Linked DNA regions of Canis lupus familiaris. The protein of the gene in region 2 binds, or shares a complex with, the protein of the main gene of each other region. Links are inferred from orthologs where the notes say so. Each region holds a gene or a part of one and is shown on either strand. Other genes may lie near its edges.

Evidence for each region.
Region 1: the proteins of KDM4A (region 2) and histone H1.4-like are in contact, whole or in part, in a crystal structure (PDB 6H8P), measured with the Homo sapiens proteins. The link is inferred for Canis lupus familiaris from reciprocal best matches to the Homo sapiens genes KDM4A and H1-4. Residues at the interface, in NP_055478.2 of Homo sapiens: Ile71, Asn86, Ala134, Asp135, Asn137, Thr167, Ile168, Glu169, Gly170, Val171, Tyr175, Tyr177, Glu190, Asp191, Ser196, His240, Lys241, Ser288, Thr289, Asn290, Asp311, Met312, Val313; in NP_005312.1 of Homo sapiens: Ala24, Arg25, Lys26, Ser27, Ala28, Gly29.

The regions. Positions count from the first base shown.
Region 1 is NC_049256.1:25,568,737-25,577,898, forward strand, and holds histone H1.4-like, read left to right. Parts: upstream 1-5,086; 5' UTR 5,087-5,143; coding exon 5,144-5,791; 3' UTR 5,792-6,601; downstream 6,602-9,162. Other genes in the region: H4C4 (H4 clustered histone 4), read right to left, coding at 955-1,266; histone H2B type 1-M, read left to right, coding at 6,646-7,026. UniProt on the Homo sapiens protein: Histone H1 protein binds to linker DNA between nucleosomes forming the macromolecular structure known as the chromatin fiber. Histones H1 are necessary for the condensation of nucleosome chains into higher-order structured fibers.
Region 2 is NC_049236.1:16,662,644-16,672,628, reverse strand, and holds the start of KDM4A (lysine-specific demethylase 4A), read left to right. Parts: upstream 1-4,711; 5' UTR 4,712-4,832; intron 4,833-4,987; exon of another isoform or gene 4,988-5,130; intron 5,131-5,185; exon of another isoform or gene 5,186-5,342; intron 5,343-7,357; 5' UTR 7,358-7,396; coding exon 7,397-7,534; intron 7,535-8,206; coding exon 8,207-8,382; intron 8,383-9,985. UniProt on the Homo sapiens protein: Histone demethylase that specifically demethylates 'Lys-9' and 'Lys-36' residues of histone H3, thereby playing a central role in histone code. Does not demethylate histone H3 'Lys-4', H3 'Lys-27' nor H4 'Lys-20'.

The DNA.
Region 1 (9,162 bases), on a different chromosome or scaffold from region 2:
TCAGTTCCCCTCTGAAGGGCAACTCTGCTCCTCCTGATAAATCCAGGACCTTTTCCCTTCAAGTCATTGCTCTGCTATCCCCTGGGACCTGATGTCCCTGCCAAGGGACTGTTGGATCACCTTCTTACCTGGTGGGAAAGGGGAAAGCCCAGACCTGGGAGTGACTTCTGACTTTTGCAGCTCTTAGCCACATTCTTACCTGTGTTCCAGGAAAGCGGGGACATGTTGCCTAAGGCTACAAGGCCACCGGCCCAGCTATATGGTTTATTCTGTTCAAGTGAACAATCTTAATGCCGGGGGTGGGGGGGTGGAGGAAGCCAGCCTACACAGCTAAGACTCTCCACAAAACCAAACACACTGGGATCACACCAAAGGATACAGGGGTAAAGTGGCAGTCTGTGGCATGCTTAAAGAACCTAAGAACAAGAAAGCGGGAACTCACTAGAAAACCAACGTAATTTTTCCCTAATCTGCTGATACTAGGCAAGGTGGGATTTAAACCCTAAAAACCTGGGCTCGCAGTCAGGATAGGCTGCATGCAGACCATAGAACCATCATCACCTGTTAACTGAAGGGACCTCGGAAGTCTAAGATTCTGTCCGATAATAAACGAAGGCACTTGATTAAAGCACCTTTTAAGTGGACCTATAGCACGTGTACGTTAGGTGGTCTTGGAGGAAGATCAGAACCTCTGGATGCAATTCAGTGGAGAGGCGGACAGGTCCTCCCCCCCACCCCCCCAGGATGCCTCACGACGGACAGGCATGAAGGGGTCAAATTTAGAATGGGAGCACAGTTGCCTGGGCGAATGGAGACCCAACTAGGTGTAGTCTGCCGAAGTAAGAAATTCACAGCGATAGTACAAAGTGAGCACCTCTTTCTGTAGACTAGATAGGTGGCCCTGAAAAGGGCCTTTGGTTGCAAACTGGGATTTCCTGGAGCTGAACTCACAACTCAGCCGCCGAAGCCGTAGAGGGTGCGGCCCTGGCGCTTGAGCGCGTAGACCACGTCCATGGCCGTGACCGTCTTGCGCTTGGCGTGCTCCGTGTAGGTGACGGCGTCCCGGATCACGTTCTCCAGGAACACCTTGAGCACCCCGCGGGTCTCCTCGTAGATGAGGCCCGAGATGCGCTTGACGCCGCCGCGCCGGGCCAGCCGCCGGATGGCGGGCTTGGTGATGCCCTGGATGTTGTCGCGCAGCACCTTGCGGTGGCGCTTGGCGCCGCCCTTGCCCAGCCCCTTCCCGCCCTTGCCGCGACCAGACATGACCACACCAGAACCTCCCGAGCCTGCACGGCACTACCGGCTGCCGCCACGCCGCACTTTTATAACAATGTGACGGACCTGTTTGAAAACCGCAAGCGCAGGGGCGGATCCACACTCCGTTCCCGCCCATCGCCCTTCTAGCCTTTGCTCAGACTGTGCAGACCCGGAAGGCCGGGCGCCCCAAGCGGAGTCTGTGCCGGGGGAAGGGGATTCCGTAAATCCTCTCGAGTATGTGATCCGTGCAATGGCCTTGCAGCACTTGCAGCCTCTATGCCGGCCACCCGCTATGCCGGGCACCAATGCATACGCTTTCCACAAAGACCTCGTCCTTCACATTTCCCAAACAAGGGCAGAAATATTTAGATCCTCCTCGCTGTTGTCCCTAGGAGAGGTTTTCAATAAAATTTGAAGCTAATCCTATCTGTATTGCTAAGATTCTGTTCGTGTTATCGACCGATGGGTGTCCGGTCCCTACGGAGGGCGGCTGGCTGGGATGCAGGCTGTCCGGTCCCTGCGGAGGGAACGGACAGAATCGCCTTAAACATTTCAAAGTCAAGTCAGGTTCCACACTGAAGGCTGCGCTGAGCATATGCCACAGTGAGGAGAGCCTGGTTCTGCTGTGAGTCTCCACTCTGCGACTTCAGTGTATACTTAGTTATGCACAGCTTACAGGTAGCGCGGTGTCCGCCTCCACGTTCTGGTGCTCCGGCCTTTGGCATGACCTAGAACGCGGCTCTGGACACAGCCTGCCGCCGTGCTACCTACAGGACCTCGGGCGGGCTATACTCGCTTCTTTTCCTTTCCAAATGTATAAGAAAGTCTAAGTCATAGAGCATTGAATTTTCAAAGGGAAAACCCATGTAAAGCGTTTACTATCCGCAAATATGCACTCACAAAATGATTATGATATATTATTGTGGATGTTTCTCTGCTCCTTCACTCACTATTCGCTCCTCGGAATAATGAGCCTAACAGAGCATCCTAGTTTCCTACAACTTTCTTTCCAGAACTCCTTAAAAATAATAAGCACTGAAAGATTGAATTCAGCACTAATCCGTTTGTGGAGTTCTAGTTGACTTTGTGGGGATTTGGCTTCTCCCCAAGGGTCTGTGAGGAGGACATAGTTCATTAAAGCTGATTTCTGAGTTTGTGGGCGGTGCATGGGAAAAATGCCCGACTTGTGTTCTTACTCTCTGATACAATGACAGGATTTAAGACATCTAGGAACTTGTATAGAACATAAGTCCATCTTTATCTGTACTATCCCTCAATTGAAGCTTAGCATTTCTTCCATTTACGAATATAGGCAGCAAACTTCGATGGGCGGGACCTGTCCTGTGTGCATGTCACCTAAACTGAAGCTCTCAGTGTTTTCAAGACCATTTAGACACTTTATTCCTTCTACACTGTGTTCATTCTTGCTCACAAGAGCTATCTTGTGACTCTAACGGATTAATAAAAAAACACATCTGTTAGGATGCCTAAGTGGTTGAGCATCTGCCTTTGGCTCATGGCCTGATGCCTGGGTCCTGGGATCTAGTCCCACATTGGGTTCCCGGCAGGGAGCCTGCTTCTCCCTCTGAATATGTATCTGCCTCTCTCTGTGTGTCTTTCACAAATAAATAAATAAAATCTTTAAAAAGAAACCACACACATCTGTTAACACTTTACAGTTTGGGGATTTGATAAAGGTATTGTAATATTAATTCTTTCCCATTATAATCCAATGTATATTCTCTTAAACTCTTAAAAACATTGTCCTGGCAAGGGGCCCATAAGCCTTATCAGATATATAAAGAAGCCCTTGACATGAACAAAGAAGGGTCAAAGGGATCTTCAGAGCCTTGAAAGACTCTGGGTTTTGAAAATGTGCACAGAGAAGCATTAGGAAATGACATGAATGTTGGCATGAAATGAATACGTAATAGTAACCTGATGGAGGTGTGTAAGGGTAAATGGCAATAATTTTCTCCTCTTAGCAACAGGAAAGAGATTATAGGGAGAGTGTAGTACAGTGGAGACAGGTGCAAAGGCAAATACCCACCAAGTGCCCAGAAATACAAGTTTGATATTTAGGCAAAAGGACCAATTTGAAGAGACAGTCTTCGAAGTTACTCACATTGACGTGACTCATAAGCCCATCCATGAAGGTGATAGGGGTAGTACCTTGGAGAGACTCCCTACACTGACATGTCCAAGAAACAGCTCTTCCTTGGTGGCACTGCGTCTCTTTGGGTATAATCTTGACTCTCCTATTTCTTGTATGGACTAAATACTGTCACAGCCTTATGACTCAATGTCTCTGCAATTCCTGGAGTATTAATTATCAAAGAATAATTATCAGATTATCAAAGAATAATCTTCAAATGAGTTTCAAAACCAACTATAATGAATCAAAACCACTTTTTTTCAAAACCACTTTAAAAGAATTAAGAATATGTAAGCTCTATAAAAAGTGAATACACAAAGTAAAAATTATTTATACTAAGCTGATATCTCACCCCTCTTTATCATGTTAATATTTAACCTATAGTGACATTAATTTTCATGTTTCACTTGGATTGACTGAAAGGAATAATCAGTCATTTCTTGATTTTGAGGGGATAATAAAGGAAAGTGAAACCTTCCCCCTCTTGAGCTTTGCTGTGTTTCCTTCTTTCACTGTCATAGTGGAACACAGATTGGTTCATGTTTCAAAATAAATATAATATGTTAAAGAGAAAAAAGGAATTTGTGAAGAAAATCACATTAAATCACTTCCTACCATAAACCTATTTCCCATTCAACAGTAAGCATAAGTTGTAATGTGATGCCTTCCATAAATGAAAAATATACTAGTGAATATAAAACACACTTTTAAAAAAGGTCCCCCTCTCAAGGGAATGCCATAAGTGTGTGCATGTCTGTGTGTGTTGTGCATGTATATAATCTTTGTTACTTTAATACCTTCCAAATTTCTCTTTCTCAAGAATGGCAGATTTCTATACCCAAACTTGTACACATTTTAGTAACTGATCTCTACCAAGAAAATCAATATAAGATAATATTTTCAACTAATAAAGGTACCCAACTTCTCTTATGCCACTTCTAAATCTCCTATCATCATCTAAAACAAACATAAGCCAAACAACCAGGTCAGCAGCATCATACTTGCTGCATTTCCCATTTTTCTAGACAAATATTGAATGCAGAAACCCCAAACTAACTCTGCAAATTGTTACTAGAAGCTATGATAAAGGTTTTACAGACAAAATAATGACCGTTCTTGTCAGAATTAGCAGTTCTTCCAAGAATCCTTTACTATCATTCTTGTAGAGAAATGGGGAGAGAGCCTGTGTTATTTCCCTTCATATGAAACAGGTTTTCTGGCTAAATCTCGATGAGAACTAAGCAGCTGTTGAACATATGAGAAGCCAAGAATGTATAGAATAACCCTAGAGAGCAAGTTATTGAAAGCACAAAGCGAAGAATTTATATTTTAAAGGAAAATCAAGAAGTTGTCTCTCTGACCTGTGAATCTCTCAGGGTGTCAGGGGCTTTTGAAAAGAGCTGAAACCCAGATGATGAAAACTGGAAGAAGAAAACACGAAGATGTCAAAGCATGAGGGGTCCCGCTTCGCTATAGAGTGTAATCAGCGTGATTCCTCCCCAGGAAATTTTAATTTTTTTGCTTTCCCCAACTGTAACAAACACAATTCCGGGACAGAGCTGACACCAGGCTGCTGTCAAGTTGGAGGACTGAGCTCGGAGCCAATCAGCGCGCGGCGTCCTTGTTGTATATATACACACGCACACACGCACGCCGAACCAAGCAGCTCAACTCCGAGACTCGATTAATATTATTTTTTCCTTTCATCTTCAGGAACCAAAACCCACTATGTCCGAGACCGCTCCTGCCGCGCCTCCAGCCCCGGCCCCCGCGGAGAAGACGCCGGTGAAGAAGAAGGCCCGCAAGTCCGCCGGCGCAGCCAAGCGCAAGGCGTCCGGGCCCCCGGTGTCCGAGCTCATCACCAAGGCGGTGGCCGCGTCCAAGGAGCGCAACGGCCTCTCCTTGGCCGCGCTCAAGAAGGCGCTGGCGGCCGCCGGCTACGACGTGGAGAAGAACAACAGCCGCATCAAGCTGGGCCTCAAGAGCCTGGTGAGCAAGGGGACCCTGGTGCAGACCAAGGGCACCGGCGCCTCGGGCTCCTTCAAGCTCAACAAGAAGGCGGCCTCCGGGGAGGCCAAGCCCAAGGCCAAGAAGGCGGGCGCGGCCAAGCCCAAGCGGGCGGCGGGGACGGCCAAGAAGCCCAAGAAGGCAGCGGGGACCGGCACCCCCAAGAAGAGCGCCAAGAAGACTCCGAAGAAGGCTAAGAAGCCCGCCGCGGCCACCGTCGCCAAGAAGGTGGCCAAGAGCCCCAAGAAGGCGAAGGCGGCCAAGCCCAAGAAGGCGGCCAAGAGTCCGGCCAAGACCAAAGCCCCGAAGCCCAAGGCAGCCAAGCCCAAGGCGGCCAAACCCAAGAAAGTGGCCGCCAAGAAGAAATAAGAATACAGAGTAGTTTAGGATCTTTTTAAAGGCTCTTTTCAGAGCCACCCAAACCTCTGAAAAGAGCTGCGGCACTCTGCGGGGAAGGGGGCGTGGCGGGAGGGGAGACTGGCGAGCCCGGAGCGGCACCTACAGGGGCGCCTGTTAAGTGCACACGGGCCTGGGGAGATTTCAAATGGGACAATGATTTCTCCTCTAGTCTGGTAAGTGCGCTGGTTCAACCTAAATTGGCCCGTAGTCCACACGGCGCAATAGGACTAATATACATAGGGGAGAAGTTACTTGCAAAACGAACTTTGAAACCGATTTGCCACTTAATAGAAAGTTCTCCAGCCACCGGGGATCTTTATACTGTATTGGTAGAAAACTATGAAGTATCTCGATGGTCTTTCCATTATCTTAATCATGGAATTGCGCCATCTCCTCAACAAGCACTTGCCCACCAGCTCCAATACCTAGGACGTCAGTTTGGCCACCAGTGGCCACCAGGCTTCCGCTGCGCAACACCCATCCTAGTGGAGGAAGTTTTCTAACAAAAGCTGTCCACACACACTTCTCCGTTACACTACCTCAAAGTTAAAATACATATTGGCGTTGAAGAAGACTTTATAGTAACCTTTGGTAGCCAAGTCTAGACCTTCTGATTGGGTCGAAGCACAGTAACGAGGCAGCCAATGAAACGCTAGAATTGCAAGTACCTTTTACATTCGTATTTGTGACGACACAGTAAAATTAATCCAATCGTAAATGATCTTACTAACCTCATTCGAATGCCTCCTCTATAAATAAACGGGGTCTTACGGTGGCTTATATTTTCCTCCCGCTTTACTGAACGTGTGGTATTCAAGGTCACTATGCCAGAACCCACCAAGTCCGCGCCGGCCCCGAAGAAGGGCTCCAAGAAGGCGGTGACCAAGGCGCAGAAGAAGGACGGCAAGAAGCGCAAGCGCAGCCGCAAGGAGAGCTACTCGGTGTACGTGTACAAGGTGCTGAAGCAGGTGCACCCCGACACGGGCATCTCGTCCAAGGCCATGGGCATCATGAACTCGTTCGTCAACGACATCTTCGAGCGCATCGCGGGCGAGGCGTCGCGCCTGGCGCATTACAACAAGCGCTCGACCATCACGTCCAGGGAGATCCAGACGGCCGTGCGCCTGCTGCTGCCCGGGGAGCTGGCCAAGCACGCCGTGTCCGAGGGCACCAAGGCCGTCACCAAGTACACCAGCTCCAAGTAAACGTGCCAAGTAAGCGTCTCCTTCCCAACCCCAAAGGCTCTTTTCAGAGCCACGCATGCTTTCAACAAATGAGCTATAATGCTTTCTAAAAACTATTCTCAAATGCACCCTAATCAAGTTTACTCTAAGATCGATACATCGCTACGGCTCTATAATTTTCTCTTAGGATTGCGTAGCAAGGATGCCACAATTCCCGGTCGATAACCATACCCATCATAAATTGAGCGCTCGCTATGCCCAAAACCGGTTCTGTACAACCATTATTCCTTAGTTTCACAACACTAAACCTCAATTTTAAATGAAAATGCCATTTCAAGTGTACAGCTCTCCTTCCTGTGCGCAGGCTCCAAATTCATCGTGACATTCAAGGACTTGGGTAAGAACGGTTTCCCCAGAGCACAAAGCATGCTGTAAAAACTGTTTTGCTCAGAGCTTTTCTTTTCCTTTTCAGCATATAGATATGCAATAATGAAAACGAGCTTAAGACAACATGAGTTTTCATGGAAATCTTACACAGGCTTTTCTGGCTTGCTAGCTTTGCAATAATGCCCATTTCTGCTGGTGGGGGAGGTAGGGTGGGGATCAGGGAGGAGGAGTCTGTGCTGTATCCTAAAGGCGCAGACAGACAGGAAAGGGAACCTGTCCTGACTTGGAAGGGCTTTCAAATCCTGTCAGCTACTATAGCTTCTCTCCTACAAAGTCCTATTGCATTGCCGGTCTTCTTCCAGCATCCTTAGCTGGGAAGACCCCAGGGTCACAAGAGAGAAGCCCACTACTCAATCCCATAAAGTGTCTGACTGGAGAGGCAAAAGTTACCCCAGGACTGAGGCCCCCTTTCCTCCCCTGGCCCCTTGCCCCGTGTCCCTGAGAGGCGAGGACTGAGAGGAGGTAGAAAGGGAAAGAAAGCCCTTCCCGGGAGGATGTGGCTTCTGCTGCACAAGGTCAGATGGCATAAAGGGTTTCTGCTGCTGCTGGGAATGGATTATTGTGGGGAAAAGAAATCTGGGGGAAAAAGCTGGGGAGCTGGGAGGAACTGGCCAGGGGGTAAGCAGTCAACAGTTGAGAGTTCACCCAAGAAAACGGATGAGATTATCTTTCCAGGTGTAGCTGACACACTCACCGGTTCCATCCTCAGGGTAGAAGGATGAACTAGAAATGAGCACACGACCAGACAGCACATGGGCACCCCCACACACCCACTCGCCCAGAAGATGGCAACAGTGTGTGCTCACCCTCCGTGCTGAGCAAGGTAGATTGTGCCACCCACAATTCCGACCACCACTCACTTGCTTCTGGCACTGACATCACAGGGATTCGGAATACCCAGGCTGAGGATTAACTCTGAGATCTCCCAAGCTGGCTTTGTACCCCTGAGCACCCGCTCAAGGCAAATACAAATCCTCTCTGAAGGAATAAGCTTCATTTTTGGTCTCAGCAAATCCTCCACACATAAGATAGCAAAGAAAATGAAAGAGCAGCTTCACAACCAAAATCAACACAGGATTCAACAAGACAATGTAACCAACAAGAAGAGAAGCACACAGTGGAAACAAAAGGAGTAAAAAGAAAATGAACAGATACAAACTTCAAGTTGCTAACTTGAATATCTTTAAAAAGGAAAAGGAAAACACTAAGTGAAATATGCTGAGGGATTAAGAATACAAAGAATTTTCCAAAAAGAGTCGAAAGAACCAAATACGACTTCCAGAAATGAAGGTGTGGATATACACGTTAATTTACATTAATCATATGAAAATTAAAATTAAAGGCTTGCTAAATGGACCAAAAAAATCAATAGGCTCCAGATGAAGAATTTTCATGAATTCTGTAAGCAGACCTTATTTATCCAAAATGCAGGGAGAGAAATGTAAAAGTGAGTTTAAGAGATCTGGAATTAGTAGTAAAATTGTCTGCCATGTATCTAATCATGGCACCACAAGAACAACCAGAGAGATTGATGCTGGTGTGAGCTTCCAATGATCATGGCTGAGAATTTTTCAGAGTTAATGGATTACTCATGTAACTCAAAATCAATAAAATAGGGTAAAACTCATACACCAAAACGGACGTCACTCTGTCACACTGTGAACCAAACCCCATAAATTCTCCCAACAAATGTAAAGCTAGTTTTCTAAT
Region 2 (9,985 bases):
GAATAAATAAATTTTTAAAAATCTTTAAAATATATATATATATATTTTTTAAAGATTTTATTTATTCATGAGAGAGACAGACAAGCAGAGACACAGGCAGAGGGAGAAGCAGGCTCCATGCAAGGAGCCCGACGTGGGACTCCATCCTGGGTCTCCAGGATCACGCCCTGGGCCTGAAGGCAGGTGCTAAACCGCTGAGCCACCCTATCTGCCCTCCCCCCAAAATTTTTAAAGTAATATTTACACCCATTGTGGGGCTCAAACTCATGACCCTCGATTAGGAGTCAGGTGCTCCGGGACACCCGGCTGCTGGTACTGTTTCCTCCTTATCCCCATGAAGGAGATGGGATATCTGGAGCTTCAGCAGTCGCCTTCCAACCATGAGGTGCACACCTCTGAGGGCCAAAGCCAGGTTGTGAAGTATAGAGAAAGGTGGAAGCAGCCTCTTTGGTGACTTTTCTGAGCATTGGGCGAATGCCAATAAATACCTCCCTTCATTTATAAACAAAACAAAACAAAACAAAACCTCCCTTCAGCCTTCTTATTACACGTGAGGGGGGAAAAAACCCTCTGTATTTATCTAAGCCACTGTTGCTAGGGTTTTCTATTTTTGGTGATGGAACACATTCCTAAATGATAATATCAATAAGACTGAAGTGATGCTCTTGAGAGATTTTGCCTAGTGGAGGAAGATGGACACGTAACAAATCCAGGCACTTGCAGAACACTTGTTTGTGGAACTCTGTGCAGGGTGAGGCAATAGACTGCATCAAGGAGTCACTGTTTACACACCAGTTCCTGGTTCAGGCGAATGGGTGATTGACTGCCCCACTAACTGAGATAGAAAACCTAAGAGGTGGAGCTCATTTGTGGGGCAAATACATTAGTTCTTAATTGAGCATGTGGGTTTTAGGTACCTGTAGGAATCCAGCAGGAGGGATCCAGAGGTAGGAGGATGCTTGGATCTGAGCACAGGGGAGAAGATCGTGCTGGAGTATGGAATGGGTTTCATCAGTGTGCACGTGAGTGAAGCCTGAGAGTTTAAGTGTTTTGAACTCTTGTTTCAGGCTTTAGGTTAAGTGCTTTGTATTACCACCACCACCACCACCACCATCCATTCCACAGCTAACATTTACGGAGCACTCAATATGTGCCAGTTTGACTTCTAAGTACTTTACCTGCATTATCTTGTTCAGCTCTCACAACCAAGAAAGAGAAGTACTGTTCCAATTTTAGTTATCATTGAGGATTAGAGAAATTAAGTAACTGGCCCCAGGTCATACTGCTAGTGACTTGTGAAATCAGAAACATCTAAGGAGAGCTTGTAGAATGAGAGAAGAGGGCAAGAGACATAGAGCCACAAGCACAGAAACATATTTTCAGTTCTTTAGTTTTTTTTTAATTAAAGATTAAGTTTGTAATTAAAAACATTAAGGTAGGGGATCCCTGGGTGGCTCAGAGGTTTAGCGCCTGCCTTTGGCCCAGGGCATGATCCTGGAGTCCTGGGATCCAGTCCCGCCTCGGGCTCCCAGCATGGAGCCTGCTTCTCCCTCTGCCTGTCTCTCTACCTCTCTCTCTCTCTCTGTGTCTATCATGAATTAAAAAGAAAAAAAAAAAAAAAAAAAGGTGTCATGGGGCATCTGGGTGGCTCAGTCGGTTATGTGTCTGAATCTTGGTTTCAGCACAGGTCGTGATCTTGGGGTCGTGGAATCAAGCCGGAGTTGGGGCTCTGCGCTCAGTGAGGAGTTTGCCTGGGACTCTCACTCCCTCTCCAACTACCCCTCTCCCTTACAGGAAATAAATAAATCTTTTTTTTTTCTTCTTGGAAGGAAATATTTATTTATTTATTTATTTATTTATTTATTTATTTATTTATTTATTTATTTATATAATAATAAATTTATTTTTTATTGGTGTTCAATTTGCCAACATACAGAATAATACCCAGTGCTCATCCCGTCAAGTGCCCCCCTCAGTGCCCGTCACCCATTCGTGGAAATAAATAAATCTTTTAAAAAATTAAGGTATCAAAAAAATTAAGGTATCGTGTACATTAAATGTTATGGACAACTTATAAGTGTACAGCTCAAAGAAAATTTAAAATATGAACATACCAGTGTAATAACCACCATCCAGATCAAGAAACTGCTTTAGAATGCTACTAAAACAAAACCAAAACCAAAAAAATTATTTTTTATTTTTATTTTACTTTTTTTTATTTTACTTTTTTTTTTTTAAAGATTTTATTTATTTATTCATGATAGTCACACACAGAGAGAGAGAGAGAGAGAGAGAGGCAGAGACACAGGCAGAGGGAGAAGCAGGCTCCATGCAGGGAGCCCAATGTGGGACTCGATCCCGGGTCTCCAGGATCACGCCCTGGGCCAAAGGCAGGCGCTAAACCGCGGCGCCACCCAGGGATCCCTTTATTTTACTTTTTTTTTTTTTTCTTTTTTCTTTTTCCCCTCCCTCCCTCCCTCTTTATTTTACTTTTTAAAAAAATATTTTATTTATTTATTCATGAGAGACACACAGAGAGAGAGAAAGAGGCAGAGACACAGGCAGAGGGAGAAGCAGTCTCCATACAGGGAGCCTGACACGGGACTCCATCCTGAGTCTCTAGGATCAGGCCCTGGGCTGAAGGTGGAGCTAAACAGCTGAGCCACCTGGGCTGCCCCCTCCCCCCCCAAATTTAAAACCCCCCACCTCAAACCCAAAAAATTCCCCTGATATTACTAACACCTTAACGCCCCAGAAACTTTCTTTCCTTTTGGAAGCATTCTTTATGCTACTCCCCCATCATTCCCTGTCCCCCACTCAAAGGTAACCCCACTTTTGGCTTCTTTTGCCATGATTAGTTTTGCTGTAAATATCAACATTAAGAGGTGGGACAGTAAAGATGAGCTTAAAAAGTTGACTGAGATAAACTGGTCAGGGAAATGGGAGGACTTCCAGAGAGCCAGGCTTCAACTACCATATGCACACACCAACAAGAAACTGGTGATACAAAGTAGCAGTGACTCTTGGAAACTCCTCTTTGGCAACATTGGGAAATGTAGCAAGATCACATTCACAAAGTAGTTGGCAGTGACAGCAGCACTAGCAACTGTATCCATGCCCAGGTCAGGGGAGCTGGGAAGGCCCTCTGCAGCATCTTATTTCGTGGCAGCAGCAAGGAGACCTGCCGATGAATTCTTTGGCATGATTTGGGGTTGTTTTCCTCATTAAGAACCTTCCAGGTTAGATTCTTCAGGCTCTTAACAATTTTGTGAGCTACCCAGTATAATCTAGTAGCTAATTCCTTACTAGGTCTGGAGAGAACAACTTTGTTGTGAAAGACTATTGATTGCCCACACAACTATCAATGATCATTCCTTTTTAAAAAATTTCCCCCAATATAACTCTGCTTTGTTGTTTTTTTTTGGTTTGGTTTGGGTTTTTTTGGGTGCACGTGCCCAGCCTCATGATTGTTCTACCTCCGCCACTCTAGGTAATACCATCCTTTTGGCCAACATTTATTACCCTTCCTTTTTGCAACAGTCCCGCAAGGCAGGTATTATCTTTTCCATTTTACTGATGGGAAAACCCAGGCTCAGAGGAGGGGTGGATTTTGAACGCAGATCTGACTCCATAGCTCTTTACAGGACACTGCATCATAGCTCACCTATGGGTAATTGTGGCCACTTTTTTATAATTCTGGTTGTGATTATTCTACTTTTCTATTGGGCCTATCAGAGCGTTCGGTAGGCTTCCTGGCCCACCATCCGCGATAATCTGGGGGCTCCTTAGGGCGCCTCAGTGCCCCTTAGGAAGTTCCTAATGACTTCTAGACACTCCCTCAACTTTCCAGAAGTACGTGTAATGACTCCCAGGACCTTCTCCCACGCCCCAAGAGCTGCTCCTAATGACCCCCAAATCCCCGCTCATTGAACAACTCTTCTCTTAATGACCCTAAGGACATTCCCCCTTCAGAGCTGTCTCCCCTTCAGGAAATGTCTGGTTCTGCCGGCGAGTGGGAGGTTTCCCATGACACGGGCCTTCCAGTTTTGAAAGCCAAGGCAGGGATCCCCGGGTGGTTCAGTGGTTGAGCACCTGCCTCTGGCCCAGGGCGCGTGATCCTGGGGTCCCGGGATCGAGTCCCACGTCGGGCTCCCTGCATGGAGCCTGCTTCTCCCTCTGCATGTGCCTCTGCCTCTCTCTCTGTGTCTCTCATGAATAAATAAATCTTAAAAAAAAAAAGAAAAAGAAAAAGAAAAAGAAAAAAAGAAAAGCCAAGGCAGTCTCGGGCAAAAAGGGCCAAGTTGGTCACCCTATCAGATCTCGGAAGCGGCCCCCAAGGGCTCCCAGCGCACTGCCACCTTGGGGAGGCCCCACCTTGGGGAGGCCCCTAGACTCTTCGCTAGTCACATCCCACGCGCATCCCGCGGCCCCGACCCTCGCCGAGCGTCCCACTTCCAGGCACTCGCCTCTTTCCACCCCGGGGAGCGGGGGTGGGGGGGATGGGGGGTGGGGAGGGGGGATGGCCGCCTGTGATTGGCCCGCCCCGCGGCTCAGCCAAGATGCTCAGTGGCCGCAGAGCCGGGCGGCGCGGCTTTTCCTCCTGGCAACAGCCCGACCCGGCGCTCATTGGCGGAGCAGATCATAGGCGCGCTCCCATTGGCTGCTTGCCGAGCGCCAGCGGGCTCCCATTGGTCAGGGCCGCGCGGCTGCGCAGGGGCCGACTTTCCGGGGGAGGCGGAGCTCCGTCCTCCGCCGGCTGGAGGAGCGGAGCGCGCGGCCGCCGGCGACCGCGGGAGCCAGGCCCGGGCCCTGCAGGGGCGGAGGGCTGGCGGGTAAGGACCGTACGGCTTCCGAGTGCTCTGCGTGCGTTGCAGCCGTCCCTGTGACCGTGAGCTCCGGTGGGGGAGGGGCGGGGGGCTTGCCGTCAGCGCCGAGTGATAGGCGTGCTCCTTGTCCAATGCGGACCGCGGCTCCGAAATGCATCCCGAGATTGGTCCTTTCTAATCTCCTGTGGCCAATGCGCGTCGGGAAGGGAGGCGGGTGTCCTGGGCCTTATTTTCTTCTTCCTGCGGCCGGGCCTCACTCGCCTAGGCGGCGGGGCCGGGAGGGGCTGGCCCTCGACGCGGTGAGGTGGGGGGGCCCCCGGGAGCGGGGGGCTGCCCTGGGGGGGTTCCGTGGGGTCAGCTTCGAGGGGCGGGGCGGCAGTTAGAGGCGGGTGTTAGCAGCGGCGACCTTTATTGAGTTCTTAAGTGCCGGGCCTAGTGCTCAGCGTTTCGCTTGCATCATCTGAGTTCATCGGAGCAGCCCTGCTGGGCGAGGAGGTCGGGATCCCCATTTTACAGGTGGGGAAACTGAGACTCGGGCAGCTCACACAGCCAAGGTCACACAGCCAACGAATGGCAGAGACCGGATCTGAATCCAGAGTTGTTTGGGTTCCGGAGCCGGTGCTCTTGAACCACACCAGGCTTTGTTGCTGAATGGGGGACATGAAAGAGTCGGGGCACCGGAGCTTCCCCCAGGGGAGAGGTGGGGGGAAGGGAATCCTAGGGTCGGAGAAAGGCAATGAGCGAGCGAAGTGGGGGCGAGGGGATCAGTTATTCAACAGTTACGGAGTGTCTGCGCCGAGCCGTGCATTGTTCTAGGTTCCAGGCTACAAAGATGACTAAGTCCAGAGGCAGATGAAGCCCCGTTCCAGGCCTAGCACTGTGTTCACACGATTAGGATGTTTTCATCAAATTAGGCTGAAGCAAGATTTTGTAATTCTGAAAAAGACAGCCTTTAAAATTGATCGAACTTGAGGTTCCTCCACACTTGGATCTCCCCTTGCAAAGGGCTGCTTCTAGGTGGAAATTATACAGTAGGCAGCACAGAGTAATGGAAGAAGCAGTGGGGATGAGTTGCAGGACTGTGGGGACTGTGGGGGGAAAGTCCTGCTATGTAAAATGGGGTTAACAGTCTAGCTGTTCTGTAAAGTTTTGGGGAGGCGCCTGAAAAGCTCCTGGCCAAGAACACTTTATTTTTTGGTGAAATGGAAGCTTGAGAGATGTGGGTAATGGGGCTTAGACAGTTTTGTGTCATCCTGGCTTCCCAGTGTGTTAGTAGGTTGCTGGCAGGTTGGAGGTGCTGTAGTTTCCTTCTGAGCTCTCCAGCTCTCAAGGGAACCCTGGGAGCTGAACTGCCATGGCTTTGGGGCCCAGACTGGAGGAGTCGAGGGAAATGTTTGTTCCTCAAGTGGCTTCTTTTAGATCTTGTGCCTGGTTCTTACTCATTTGAAATCATCTATCGTGTTAATCAGGCAATGGGGATGCACCCACTTAGTTCGAAGGCCTCATCTAGGAGCACAGTGTTTCACCTTTTCCGGTCAGTTTGAAGTGTACCCTGTATTGCCAGTTTATTGCCCATTTAAATTTTGTCCTTTGAATTCTGGGTACTGTGTAGTTGAACTAGTCTCCAGCTTGACCTTATGTATTGCTGAAATGATGTTTTGGTTTAGAGAACAATCTCATTTTAGGGGTTTTAAATACAAATATCAGAGTGCTTTTTTAACTCTTAAAACTTTATAATCTTATGGCCAAGTTAACTTGCCTTAGTAATCTAGAATCTTGTTTTAGGTTGTGCCCTGAAAGGGAGCCCATAGTTTGTTTTTTTTTTTTTAATCTAATACATTGTTTAATACATCCTGAAGCAGTTATCAAAGGTGGATAAGGGAGCAATTGGAAAAGATAAAAGAGGGCAGGGCAGCTTTAGTATTGTTAAGTACAACAATCTAGTAACAGATTTTAGCTGAAATAGTGTCTCCATTTAAATGAGATTTGAATACTTACAATTTTGATACATTGGATTCTCACTCTGTTTTTGTTTACTTAAGTAACCTATCTAGAGGCAGATTCAAGGTGTGAGGTCTTAAAACTTCAGGATTTCTACATCCTTTGTTGTTTCAGCATTGACATTCCAAGCGTTTTTTTTTTATCAAGTTTTTAAAAATTCCATTCAGTTAATAGACAGTGAAATATTAGTTTCAGGTGTGAATTTAGTGATTTCATCACTTGTTTATAACACCCTGTGCTCATTACAACAAGTGCCCTGCCTCCTTAATATCCATCACTCAATTACCCATCTGCCCTGATATACCCAGCATTTAATTCAAATTACAGTTTATGCTCTTAAAAAAAAATTTTATTTATTTATTCACAAGAGACACCGAGAGAGGGAGAGGGAGAAGCAGGCTCCATGCAAGGAGCCCAATACAGGACTCAGCCCTGGGAATCCAGGATCACACTCTGAGCTGAAAGCAGACACTCAACCACTGAGCCACCCAGGTGTCCCTACAGTTTATGCTCTTCATGTATTTCTTCAGATTCCTGTCTGACCAAAGTGACCTCAAAAAAGAAGGAAGATGGCTTCTGAATCTGAAACTCTGAATCCCAGTGCTCGGATAATGACGTTTTACCCAACCATGGAGGAGTTCCGGAACTTCAGTCGATACATGGCCTACATTGAATCCCAAGGAGCTCATCGGGCTGGGCTGGCCAAGGTGAGGGTGGGTGGGGTTGTTCCTTAGGTCAGCAGGAATTTTTCCTAAAAGGTGGATGAAAGAACTGAGTTTCACAAAAAGCCAGGCTGGGTGTTGAGTGTATACTGTCCTATTTGTAAGTTAATTCCTTTCGTTAACATCTGAAGCAAGCATCTTTTAGGTAGGGTGGGAGCTGCTCGGAGTCTTTAAAGAGAAATAAAGAGCCTAAGCAAAGTAAAGAGCCAGTGTCCCAGGGCCAGCTGCTGTGCTGCTTCCATTCTCATGGCAGAGATGTGTGCTTTAGTGTTTGTACCTGTCACTGAGGCTTATACCATACACCTTGTTCCCATTTCAGTCTCATCTAGCACTCTGTTAGCAAGTTGGTTCTTTATGTGCACCTTCTGTTAGATTATGAGAATCAACCCTCAGCTCTTGTCTTGATGTCCAGATAAGATACTGAGCTTAGAATGAGTATTACTTATTTTGATCATTGTAATGAGGCAGCCAATTGGTGGCTGAATTGGATCAGGGTTAGCACAACAGCGTGACTTGCTATGTTTGGGTATACTTGGTTAAATCAGAGTCACTTTATAGTAAAATTGACCTTTCGGTTGAATAGCTGCCTATCCCCAACCTGGGCTGGGACCTGGCCTGCTAGGTTTCTGATCTCTTTGTTTCTTGTGTTCCCTACAGGTCGTTCCTCCAAAGGAGTGGAAACCTCGAGCGTCCTATGATGATATTGATGATCTGGTCATTCCTGCCCCCATCCAGCAGCTAGTGACAGGGCAGTCTGGCCTCTTCACTCAGTACAACATCCAGAAGAAAGCCATGACTGTTCGAGAGTTCCGCAAGATAGCCAATAGTGATAAGTGAGTGAAAACCCGTCCCTTCCCGCCTGTAGTAGCACCTAGGAGCTAACGTCTGATCTTTATAGCTGTCTCCTAAGGTCGCTGCCGAGCCACTGAAGGATGCTTTCCTCAGCCCTAGCTCTGTCTCCCTTTCTGCTCTTTTTATGGAAGCATCCTTACTACTCCCAGTACTGTGTCACAGTCTAAACGCATCCATAAGTCTTCCCTAAAGTAATCCCATTGTTCTTCCATCAGAGGCAGAATCATTCTCTGACCCTGGTAAATTGTAGAGTTGTAAAGGAGAAAGTTAGGAGTTGGTTCAAAAAGAGTTTTGGCCAGCTGTGTTGATAACACCAGCTTATCGAAAGGTTGCCTTAGTGGTTTTTCTCTTCCTTCTGGGTCCTCCTGTCTTTTCATGCTCAAACTACTCACTACTAGCACTGTCCCCTTCTATTTTGACTTAAAATATGACTGGGCACCTGGGTGGCTTAGTCAGTGAAGCGTTTGCCTTAGACTTGGATCATGATCCCAGAGTCCTGGGATCAAGCCCCACATTGGGCTCCCTGCTCAGTGGTGAGTTTGCTTCTCCCTCTGCCCCTCACCCCACTCATGTACTCTCTCTCTCTCACTGCTCTGTCTCTCAAATAAATAAGTAAAATCTTAAAAAAGAAAAAAAAAAGTGTGATCAAACTGCCAAGCTGGTTGCTGTTTTCTTTTTCTTTTTTTTTTTTTAAAGGGTTTATTTATTTATTCCCGAGAGACACACAGAAGGAGAGGCAGAGACACAGGCAGAGGGGAGAAGCAGGCTCCATGCAGGGAACCTGATGTGGGACTCGATCCCGGGACCCCAGGATCATGACCTGGGCCAAAGGCAGGCACTAAACTACTGAGCCACCAGGATCCAGGGATCCCCTGGTTGCTGTTTCCTTTGCTTCCGTTCCTCTTCATCCATACATCCTTATCTCTGTTAGACACGTCTTTGTGTAGGTCTGTAGGTCTGCTATTTTCCATGGTTTCTTGTCTGTTCTTTTTCATATTTAGCTTTCATTTGACCTCAGATTTACAGAGTGTGATTTTGTGGTTTCTTTCATTGAGCTGTGACTGCTCCTACTTAATCCTTTCTTGGACTTTCTCCCTTCCCGTGTTACTCCTTGACTTTTTAGTGTCCATGAGGGATTCCTTTATTTTCTCTTGCTTTTTTCCCTGCGCCCTTTTGATCTACATACGTCTTGATTTCAGCCAGTCAGATGTGTTAGATTGTGGGTTTGCTGTGAATGATCCCAGAGCTGGATGTTTAGCTCACCAGTTTTCACGCTTCTGGGGGCACCACCACTTCATGTGCTTTATCATTGCTCTCTCACATCAGATCTTGTTCTATTTCTGTGTTTTGCCATCTTTTCCTTTGACTTATCACAGTTCAGAATGTTGTTTTCCAGTTTTATTGACAGCTTAATTCTTAAAACATCTGCATTGCTGACCAACCTGCTGTCTAAAGAGCAAATTTATGTAAGAGCGTGTCCAAGAAGTGTGACATGCTCTGCAGATGAAAGCCTGTGCCATCCTTTATGTCTGGTTTCTAGCTATGCGGTGGGAGGCTTGCCTGCCTTCCAGCTCACATGGGGCT